Saccharomyces cerevisiae S288C: one gene and its partner. The protein of the gene in region 2 binds, or shares a complex with, the protein of the main gene of each other region. Each region holds a gene or a part of one and is shown on either strand. Other genes may lie near its edges. The genes, in order: RSC3 and RSC1.

What was found.
Region 1: RSC1 (region 2) and RSC3 share a complex: the UniProt entries of both Saccharomyces cerevisiae proteins name them as parts of the two forms of the RSC complex.

What each region holds. Positions count from the first base shown.
Region 1 is NC_001136.10:1,067,993-1,073,409, reverse strand, and holds RSC3 (Rsc3p), read left to right. Parts: upstream 1-2,023; coding exon 2,024-4,681; downstream 4,682-5,417. Other genes in the region: HNT2 (bis(5'-adenosyl)-triphosphatase), read left to right, coding at 1-8, 98-664; peptidylprolyl isomerase family protein CPR5, read left to right, coding at 853-1,530; mannose-ethanolamine phosphotransferase GPI11, read right to left, coding at 5,020-5,417. UniProt on the Saccharomyces cerevisiae protein: Component of the chromatin structure-remodeling complex (RSC), which is involved in transcription regulation and nucleosome positioning. RSC is responsible for the transfer of a histone octamer from a nucleosome core particle to naked DNA.
Region 2 is NC_001139.9:599,744-605,126, forward strand, and holds RSC1 (RSC subunit protein RSC1), read left to right. Parts: upstream 1-1,917; coding exon 1,918-4,704; downstream 4,705-5,383. Other genes in the region: MUP1 (Mup1p), read left to right, coding at 1-1,398; LST7 (Lst7p), read right to left, coding at 5,030-5,383. UniProt on the Saccharomyces cerevisiae protein: Component of the chromatin structure remodeling complex (RSC), which is involved in transcription regulation and nucleosome positioning. RSC is responsible for the transfer of a histone octamer from a nucleosome core particle to naked DNA.

The DNA of each region.
Region 1 (5,417 bases), on a different chromosome or scaffold from region 2:
TTTTCTATGTATGCACTCTCATATGTTTTTTTGTACCCCATTCGCACCATTGCGTTACTAACTATATGGAGACCTTATAATCTCTGCTTCTTTACAGAAGTCAAAATATACGTATGCATTGGTAAACTTGAAACCAATTGTACCCGGACATGTACTGATCGTTCCACTGAGAACTACGGTTTTAAACTTATCAGATCTGACCATGCCTGAATCTCAAGATTATTTCAAGACTTTACAGTTAATACATAGATTTATTAAGTGGCAATATAAGGCTGACTCTATCAACGTTGCCATCCAAGATGGACCTGAGGCCGGACAGTCGGTACCCCACTTGCATACACACATTATTCCACGTTATAAAATAAACAATGTAGGGGATTTAATATACGATAAATTAGATCATTGGGATGGTAATGGGACTTTGACTGATTGGCAAGGAAGAAGAGACGAATATTTGGGTGTTGGTGGTAGGCAAGCAAGAAAAAATAACTCTACATCGGCCACTGTAGACGGGGATGAACTCTCACAAGGTCCTAATGTCTTGAAGCCAGACAGTCAAAGGAAGGTTCGAGCTTTAACCGAAATGAAAAAAGAAGCTGAGGATCTTCAAGCCAGACTAGAAGAATTTGTATCTTCTGATCCTGGTTTAACACAATGGTTATAGTTCAATAAATAATAGATTCATACTTACGATATAAAAAATAGTAGGGAAGTTAATTTTCGTTTCGCAGCGAATCCCTTTTAGCAGAGGAAAAAAAAGATGAAACCATCCTTACTACTTTCCTCGAGGAGACTCAACAGTAAAGGTTACTTTCAATTCAATAAACAAAAGGCACAGCGATATCCGCAATTATGAAGCTTCAATTTTTTTCCTTTATTACCTTATTTGCTTGTCTCTTCACAACAGCCATTTTTGCGAAAGAGGACACGGCAGAAGATCCTGAGATCACACACAAGGTCTACTTTGACATTAATCACGGTGATAAACAAATTGGTAGAATTGTTATGGGATTGTATGGTCTCACCACACCCCAAACCGTTGAAAACTTTTACCAGTTGACCATTTCCAGGGACCCTAAGATGGGTTATTTGAACTCTATCTTCCATCGCGTTATTCCTAACTTCATGATTCAAGGTGGCGATTTCACTCACAGATCAGGTATTGGGGGTAAGTCTATCTTCGGAAACACGTTCAAAGATGAGAATTTTGATGTCAAACATGACAAACCAGGCAGATTGTCTATGGCCAATCGTGGTAAAAACACCAACGGATCCCAATTTTTCATCACCACCGTCCCATGCCCATGGTTGGACGGTAAGCACGTTGTCTTTGGAGAAGTCTTGGATGGTATGGACGTAGTTCACTACATTGAAAACGTTAAGACCGACAGTAGAAATATGCCTGTAAAGGAAGTTATTATTGTGGAAAGTGGTGAACTGGAAACTGTTCCTTTGGACAATAAAGACGCCGCCAAGCTACAGGAAGAGATCAAAGCGGAAGCTAGCGAAGCAGCCCACGATGAACTCTAAACTGCATCACTATTCAGGAGATGTATAGGCCAGCTATGTAACTATATAGTGCTTATAACAGTTGATTATCACATAGAACGAGTATGTTACCCTATGGCCCTTTTCTGGCACAACTTCACAAGAGTATTTCAATTGACCAACGTGGGTCTTGTTGACCAGCTGGGATCACACAGACCAAGAACTACCTTTATTATTAGGAACATACTGCTTTCTGGACACTTCCACTGCTATACCTTCTCGCAAATAGCCATAGTTCACCAATATTCATTCGGCCCGTTAGACGCTTGTAAGACCACTTTCCCGTTTTCGCCCGAGAAGATATATTAGCTGCTTACATTAGATTATTTCATCAAAACTCACGGCTTTCAAACCAAAGTCATTGGTGCTCTGCTGCAATTGCCCCATACTACGCAGATATTTAAAATCGAGGTTTCTGTGATATTTTCTTAAGCTCTTATCTACAAAAATAGCATTTCAGAACCAAAAAACAACGATGGATATTCGTGGTAGAAAAATGAAAAAACCGCCTGCATGCGTGCAGTGCCGTAAGAGGAAGATAGGCTGCGATCGTGTTAAGCCGATTTGTGGGAACTGTATGAAGCATAATAAAATGGACTGCTTTTATCCGGACGTTCCCGGACAATACGTTCCCTCTAGTTCTTCCTCTTCCAATACACGCCAAGTAGCCAACGGTCCGTACTTAAACTCTTATTACGCTTCTCGTCGTGTCTCCAAGGAAACTGCTGCACTTTTGCAGAAAAATCCAGAACTGGCTTCTTTGGAGCAAATAAGAGAATACAACACGCGTCTGCAACTGCTCAATGCTCAAAATCAACTTAATAATAGATCATCTGCGGCAAATGCAACCTTGAATCAACAACACACTCAATATATTCCAAAATCAGTGCCTTCCTTGGAAAGTAAGCCAGTCACTTCTGCAAACGAATCTTCTACTCCACTCAATTGGGTTCAAGGCCCTGCAATTTTTCATATGCTAACCTCTCCTTACACACAAGATGAAATCATCAATCATGAAATGAATTTCTTGAAAGGCAGACTACTGGAATTGCAAGAAATTACAGGTAAGAAAATTACGGGAGTAAATCTTGATCTCAAGCAGGATTCCTCAGCGCAAATGCAGTCTTCACACTCCAATAGAAACCAAGAGGAGTTTTTGACAATTAAGAAAAGAAAACTGAGTGAAGACGGCGTTACGGACGGGGACGGTAAGCCAATTCCAGAGAGTGAAAGAAGACCTCATCTTAATGAATTTAAGGATTTAGATCCTCAATTTTTGGATACTAATAAAGTTTTTAATGTGTTTAATTCTGCTATTTCAGAAGAAGGTAGAAACAGATTATGGCTGTTACCAAAAAATATAAATAAAAGTTCTATCTTCCAGATTCAGTATTTGATTGAACGTGATCCTTTCCTATTCAAATTCTTCAATGACTTGAATATATTAATTGAAACGCAATTTAATGGACCTTTGCACGATTTGGTAGCAAGCCGTAACAGTATTGAGCGCAACAGTGGCATATCTCAAATATTAAAGTTTCCTTCACAATCGATAACACAGACCCTTATCAACAAATACTTATCCACGATAACGGAAACGAATTCAATACTTCCAATATTAAAACCAAAGAGACTATTACCCATAGTTGAGCAGCTTTTTCCTTCTAACACCATTAATAAGCCAAATTCTAAAGATTTTGAAACTATTTTTCAAGTTTTTAGTGTGACCAATGATCAGCTACTAAATCTAGGATTTATTACTCTCTGTCTCCTGATTCTTTTTGAATCGTTGAATTCTACGGTTTTGATTCCTCTTAGAGATGATGAACACTTGCAATTATTCAATGTGTTATTCAACTACTTGCCTTTGTTGAAGTCTAATTTAACAACGCTTAGATTTGAAATTGAAAAAAGGTCAATGTGTAATATAGAGACCCTGCGGTTTATTTCTTTGTGGAAATATTACCAATTTGTGATGGACACGTCGTCATCGTCCTCTTTCGTAATTGATTACGACGAAGATATGCATATGGCATGTTTACTATCGTTAAATCATGAAACTCAAAATCAATCTCATATTTTGACCTGGAATTTCATATTTAAGAACTACTGCTGGAGACACCTTTTCTTAGGTCAATTGCCGTTGCTAATGTCTGAACCTTTCACAAATTCTACCCCAATTATTGATCCTTTGTTGAACAACGATTTTGAATTGATTGATTTTGAAGTAAACTTGATGAAATATTTGCAAAGTAAAGATCAACAACTATCCATTGATAAAATTATACAGTTAATCAAGCTTTTGAAAAATAAGAATATCGAGGTCAGCCAAGGATGTTTAACGACTCCTTCAATAATTAATAATATCATGGATTCTCTAATCTACAGGAATTCAATGTTATATTTGAACTTTTACCTCTTATTGCAATTTGAAACATTGAAAAATTATGCTAAATTTAACGAAATTTTGGAAGACTTTTTGGAATTGTCGAGGGAGACCTTGTTCTTTGTTTTCTCGAACTTAGCCAATATTAAATTTGCTGGTCATGAATTCACATTCATCAATAAATCTATTGTGGTTCTGCAAACTTTAGTTTTAATGCTTTTGGCGCTCTATCAAAGGTCTTTTGATTCTTCAAAGAGGACGAATGATGCTAATGAAATCAGTGAGCAAACAGATATTCATAGTAATAACGACAATAGTAAGAGAATAAAGAATAAAAATGTTATTCATTTAATTATCAACAAAATTGCAATGTTGTTAAGTGATTATACCAAGAATTGTAAAAAGCAAAATAAACTCATCGAAAATCTGATTATTAAAATTAAGACAATCTCCAAGTATATCAAAAATCTTGAGGAGAATAAGGTAACGACTAGCGCCGATTCAAATTATTCCATTAATAACGGATTTTCTGGCATATCTGCAGAGCAGTTGATTAAATTAAATCACGAGTTGAGTAAAATTTCAGAATCTCTGATAAAAACGGATTTTTATGAACAGAGGAAAAATAGCACAGTTTCTAATGGAGTTTTAGGCGCAGCAGCTCCTGTTGATAGCGACGCAAATTCGGATACTTTCGGTTTAACAAAGGAGAATTTCAACGAAGTTTTTGAGGCTATTCGTAGCTAAAGCGACTCAAACAAATTAAAGAAGAAGTTGAGACTTTTATAGTATTTATTATTTAATCTGAGGATTTGTATTATTTTTTTATATAGAATGAATAAATCAGAAAAAGGAAATTATGAAAAGAAAAGAATGAGGAGAGTGGGAGATATTTAATGTTGTTAGCTATTTATCTGTATGGAAGTTATTACCTTCTTTTAAGATGGTACAAATAGCATATAGGTGGGTTTGGTATAAAGATCATTTAGTTTTTGTCATAGATTTTTCAATTGTGCATAGGACCAGTTTATGTTACCTCTATCATACTTATATTTTTTTATATACAAATTTTTAAATTACCGATATTATATATAGGCACCGATAGTATAGCCCACCAAAGCGCCCAAATAACCTCCAACAACAATAGGAATTGGCCAATTCTGCCAATCTCTATCCCAATCCAAAGGAATGACAACACAACTAATCCAACCCCCTACAACGATAAAGATAAAATACTTCTTCCATAATCCCACTTTGAAATCACAATTAAATACAGAATAAACTGCAGGGTATGCTAAAAATGCAAAATGCAGTGACAACAGCCAGGTTTCCCACAATAAGTCCATTAATGGCGCACCAAATAATATAGTTAATAACATTGTGGGAAAGCTCAACAAAAATGTAACACCTAGACAAATAATGGTCAATGAGTAATTGATCTTAATGATTTTGTTACCGTAAACTGTGCATTTATTGAATTGTA
Region 2 (5,383 bases):
GGGTTATATGTATACATGGAATTCGGTACGGCTATACCGAAAAATGGTGGTGAAAAAAACTACCTGGAGGCTATTTTCAGGAAACCAAAATTCTTCATTACCTGTATGTATGCTGCGTATATTTTCTTCCTAGGTTGGGCTGCTGGTAATTCCATCAATACAGCTATTATGTTTTTAACTGCTGCTGATACTGAAGTGACCAAATGGAATCAAAGAGGTATTGGTGTGGCCGTCGTTTTTTTTGCATTCCTAATTAATTCTCTGAATGTCAAGATTGGTCTATATTTGCAAAACATTTTAGGTATTTTCAAGATTGGTATTGTCCTCTTCATTTCTATTACCGGTTGGGTTGCCCTTGGCGGTGGTCTCAAAGATGGTTATCAATCTCACAACTTTCGTAATGCTTTTGAAGGTACTGAAACCGCCACTGCTTATGGTATTGTTAACGCCTTATATAGTGTTATTTGGTCGTTTGTCGGTTACTCCAATGTTAACTATGCACTTGGTGAAGTTAAGAACCCTGTGAGAACTTTGAAGATTGCTGGTCCTACATCGATGGTCTTCTTGGCTATAATCTACATTTTTGTGAACATTGCTTACTTCGCTGTGGTTCCAAAAGATAAGTTAATTTCTTCAAAATTGATTTTAGCTGCTGACTTCTTCGATATTGTGTTTGGCGGCCAAGCCAAGAGAGCAGCAGCCGCACTGGTCGGGTTGAGTGCCTTAGGAAATGTTCTTTCTGTCATTTTTTCTCAGGGTAGAATTATTCAACAACTAGGACGTGAAGGTGTGTTGCCCTTTTCTAATTTCTTTGCCTCTTCTAAGCCATTCAACTCCCCAATGGTTGGTTTGTTTCAACATTTTATTGTTTGTACAGTAACCATTTTAGCCCCACCTCCAGGTGATGCATATTTGCTAGTCCAAAATTTAATTTCCTACCCAATGAATATTATTAATTTTGCCATTAGCGCGGGTTTGCTTTGGATATACTGGCAACGTAGACAAGGTAAAATTGAATGGAACCCACCAATTAAGGCCGGTGTTTTTGTTACGGGATTTTTCACATTATCCAATTTATACCTGATTATTGCTCCTTACGTTCCACCTTCAAATGGCGAGTCGGTGTATTCAAGCATGCCATACTGGATCCACTGTGTAATTGCTTGGGGTATTTTCTTCTTTGGTGGTGTTTACTACGTTGTTTGGGCCCAATTATTGCCAAGATGGGGCCACTACAAATTGGTTTCCAAGGATGTGCTTGGTGAAGATGGGTTCTGGAGAGTCAAAATTGCCAAAGTTTATGATGACACTATTGGCGATGTCGATACACAAGAAGACGGCGTTATTGAAACGAATATAATCGAACATTACAAAAGTGAACAAGAAAAATCGCTGTAACCAAAAAGGTACTTACCATCTCATCTCGATTCTTATAATCACGTATGAACATTCTTATAATTGCATTTTCTTTATACAAAATATATAGGTACCAAACCTCATTATAATTTCTGCCATTTAATAGTTTAAGATGCTATTCCGTTTCGTATTTTTTCAATTTTTATACCTACTATTGCGCGAAATCAAAATAGCATACTAAGAAAAAGCAATATCATGAATTGCTGATGAGATAGATTCAAATTGGAATTAACTAAATCTATCAGCAACGCTATAAACACAGATAAGCGCTCTATAAAATCGTTTGTCTAACGTTTTATATAGTTCTTTATTGCTCCCTTACCCTCTTTCCGTCAATAGTGATTGTTGTCTCGGGAAAGCTTTTTTTTTTATTAATCAAAGGCCCAATTGAGTTACAACTGAAATTAAGCTGAGTTGGCGGAACAGTGTGGTATTAGCGAAGGGAAAATCTGTGAAGTGCCCTAGCTACAAAACAGAGATAAAAAAAATTATATTTCAAGCATGGTGGAGCAAGATAATGGGTTTTTACAGAAGCTACTCAAAACACAATACGATGCTGTCTTCCATTTAAAGGATGAAAATGGTATAGAAATATATCCAATATTCAATGTACTGCCACCTAAAAAAGAATATCCAGACTATTACATTATAATAAGGAATCCGATATCTTTAAACACTTTAAAGAAACGATTGCCCCATTATACATCGCCACAAGATTTTGTTAACGATTTTGCGCAAATTCCTTGGAATGCAATGACATACAATGCAAAAGATTCAGTAATTTACAAATATGCCATTCTTCTTGAGTCTTTTATTAAAGGAAAGATCGTGCACAATATAAGAAAACATTATCCCGAGGTGACATATCCATCTCTAGGTCGAATTCCGGAAATATTCGCAGAGAGTATGCAACCCTCCGATTTATCCTCGAACCCCATTAATACACAGGAAAATGATGAAAAGGCTGGCTTAAATCCAGAGATGAAAATGGCTTTCGCAAAACTAGATAGTTCGATCACTGAAAGGAAACCAACCAACCAAGATTACAGGATGCAACAAAAAAACTCACCAGCGTTTCCAACCCATTCTGCTTCTATAACACCGCAGCCGCTGGCTTCACCTACTCCAGTTGTTAACTATGCAAATATTACCTCGGCGCATCCCAAAACCCATGTTAGACGCGGTAGACCACCAGTAATTGATCTACCCTATGTACTGAGGATTAAGAATATCTTGAAGATGATGAGAAGAGAGGTCGACCAAAATAATAAGACGCTTACCCTCTGTTTTGAAAAACTACCAGATAGAAACGAGGAGCCAACCTATTACTCTGTCATAACAGATCCCATTTGTCTAATGGATATTAGGAAAAAGGTTAAGTCCAGAAAATATAGAAATTTCCATACTTTTGAGGAAGACTTTCAATTAATGCTAACAAATTTTAAGCTTTATTATTCTCAAGATCAGAGCAATATAATACGAGCTCAACTATTGGAGAAAAACTTCAATAGATTAGTGCGAATTGAATTATCCAAACCTGATGAAGACTATTTACCTGAAGGTGAATTAAGATATCCTCTAGATGATGTAGAAATCAATGATGAGAAATACCAGATAGGTGATTGGGTTCTTTTACATAATCCAAACGACATCAATAAACCCATTGTTGGCCAGATTTTTAGATTATGGTCTACTACAGATGGAAACAAATGGTTGAATGCTTGCTGGTATTTTAGGCCAGAACAAACCGTTCATCGGGTGGATAGGTTATTCTACAAGAATGAGGTCATGAAAACTGGTCAATATAGAGATCATCCTATTCAGGATATTAAGGGAAAGTGCTACGTTATTCATTTTACCAGATTCCAGCGTGGGGATCCTAGCACGAAAGTCAATGGTCCTCAATTTGTTTGCGAATTCCGTTATAATGAAAGTGATAAGGTTTTCAACAAAATCAGGACTTGGAAAGCTTGCCTGCCGGAAGAACTCCGTGACCAAGATGAGCCTACGATACCTGTTAATGGAAGAAAATTTTTTAAATACCCTTCTCCAATAGCAGATTTGTTACCAGCAAACGCAACTCTAAATGACAAAGTTCCAGAACCCACGGAGGGAGCCCCAACTGCCCCACCTTTGGTAGGCGCTGTATATTTAGGCCCCAAATTAGAGAGGGATGATCTGGGAGAGTATTCAACTTCTGATGACTGCCCTCGATACATAATCAGACCAAATGATCCACCAGAAGAAGGTAAAATAGATTACGAAACAGGAACAATAATTACAGATACCTTAACCACAAGCAGTATGCCCAGAGTGAACAGTTCCTCCACAATACGTTTACCCACTTTAAAGCAGACTAAATCAATTCCCAGCTCCAATTTCAGGTCCTCATCAAATACTCCACTATTGCATCAGAACTTCAATCAGACTTCCAATTTTTTGAAATTAGAAAACATGAATAATAGTTCTCATAATTTACTATCACATCCTTCCGTTCCTAAGTTTCAATCGCCCTCTTTATTAGAACAGAGTAGTCGCTCTAAATACCATAGTGCAAAAAAACAGACACAGCTATCATCAACAGCTCCCAAAAAGCCTGCATCTAAAAGTTTTACATTATCCTCAATGATTAATACCTTAACTGCTCATACCTCGAAGTACAACTTCAACCATATTGTTATTGAAGCCCCGGGTGCATTTGTGGTTCCTGTACCAATGGAAAAAAATATAAGAACCATCCAATCGACAGAACGTTTCAGTAGATCAAATCTAAAAAACGCTCAAAATCTCGGTAATACTGCTATTAATGACATAAATACTGCAAATGAGCAAATAATATGGTTCAAAGGGCCCGGTGTAAAAATCACAGAGAGAGTTATTGATTCCGGAAATGATTTAGTACGGGTACCTTTGAATAGATGGTTCTGTAAAAACAAAAGGAGAAAACTGGATTACGAAGACATTGAAGAAGATGTTATGGAACCACCAAATGACTTCAGCGAAGATATGATTGCTAATATTTTTAATCCTCCGCCGAGCTTGAATTTAGATATGGATTTAAATCTAAGCCCATCCTCGAATAACTCTTCTAATTTCATGGATTTAAGCACAATTGCAAGCGGTGATAACGATGGGAAAGAATGCGATACGGCGGAGGAGAGTGAAGACGAAAACGAAGATACAGAAGACGAGCACGAAATTGAAGATATCCCGACCACGTCTGCTTTTGGCTTAAATTCTTCCGCTGAATACCTTGCATTCAGATTACGAGAATTTAATAAATTATGACCATGATAAATTCACCACATGTATCTATATATGTTCATGCATATACCATATATATTTTGTTATTCATACGATAGACCTCAATCGTTTTGTTGCCTTTCAAAACGCACAATTGTAAACCTAGCTTACTATTTATCTATCGCGGTCCAGAATGGCTTTCCTTTTTAAATTCATCCCAGAAGCCACGTCGGAGTAAAGTATTCGGCCTTGATGACTATTTCGAATCGAAATGAAAGAATAAAAGGAACTAGGAGGTTGTTCCAACAATTTTCCATGCCGTAATTTCATCGGTTATTAGGTTACCAGCATTTATCTCAGTTTATTTGAGTCAAGGTAATTTATTTTCATTCATTACTGTATGGAGTAAAAATGAATTCCATTTATGTATTCGCACGAAGAGAAATTTATCATCCGTCAGAGACACCAAATTACGGCCGAATTTAGATTTGTTTGCACGTAAATATGAGCCAATGAAAGCGTTATTATTCAATGTTTCCAAATTGTTTTCCACCGTTTTATTTTTCCCCAAGAATTCGCTTTTATGAATGTTTTTAATATATGCAATCATTTTATCAAATCCACCGATGATAAAGTTCCAGTGTTCACTCAACATTTTCATAGAATCGTCATGGCTTCTGGAATCGACTGTTAAAATAAAACAATATCTTCTTTCATTGCCTCT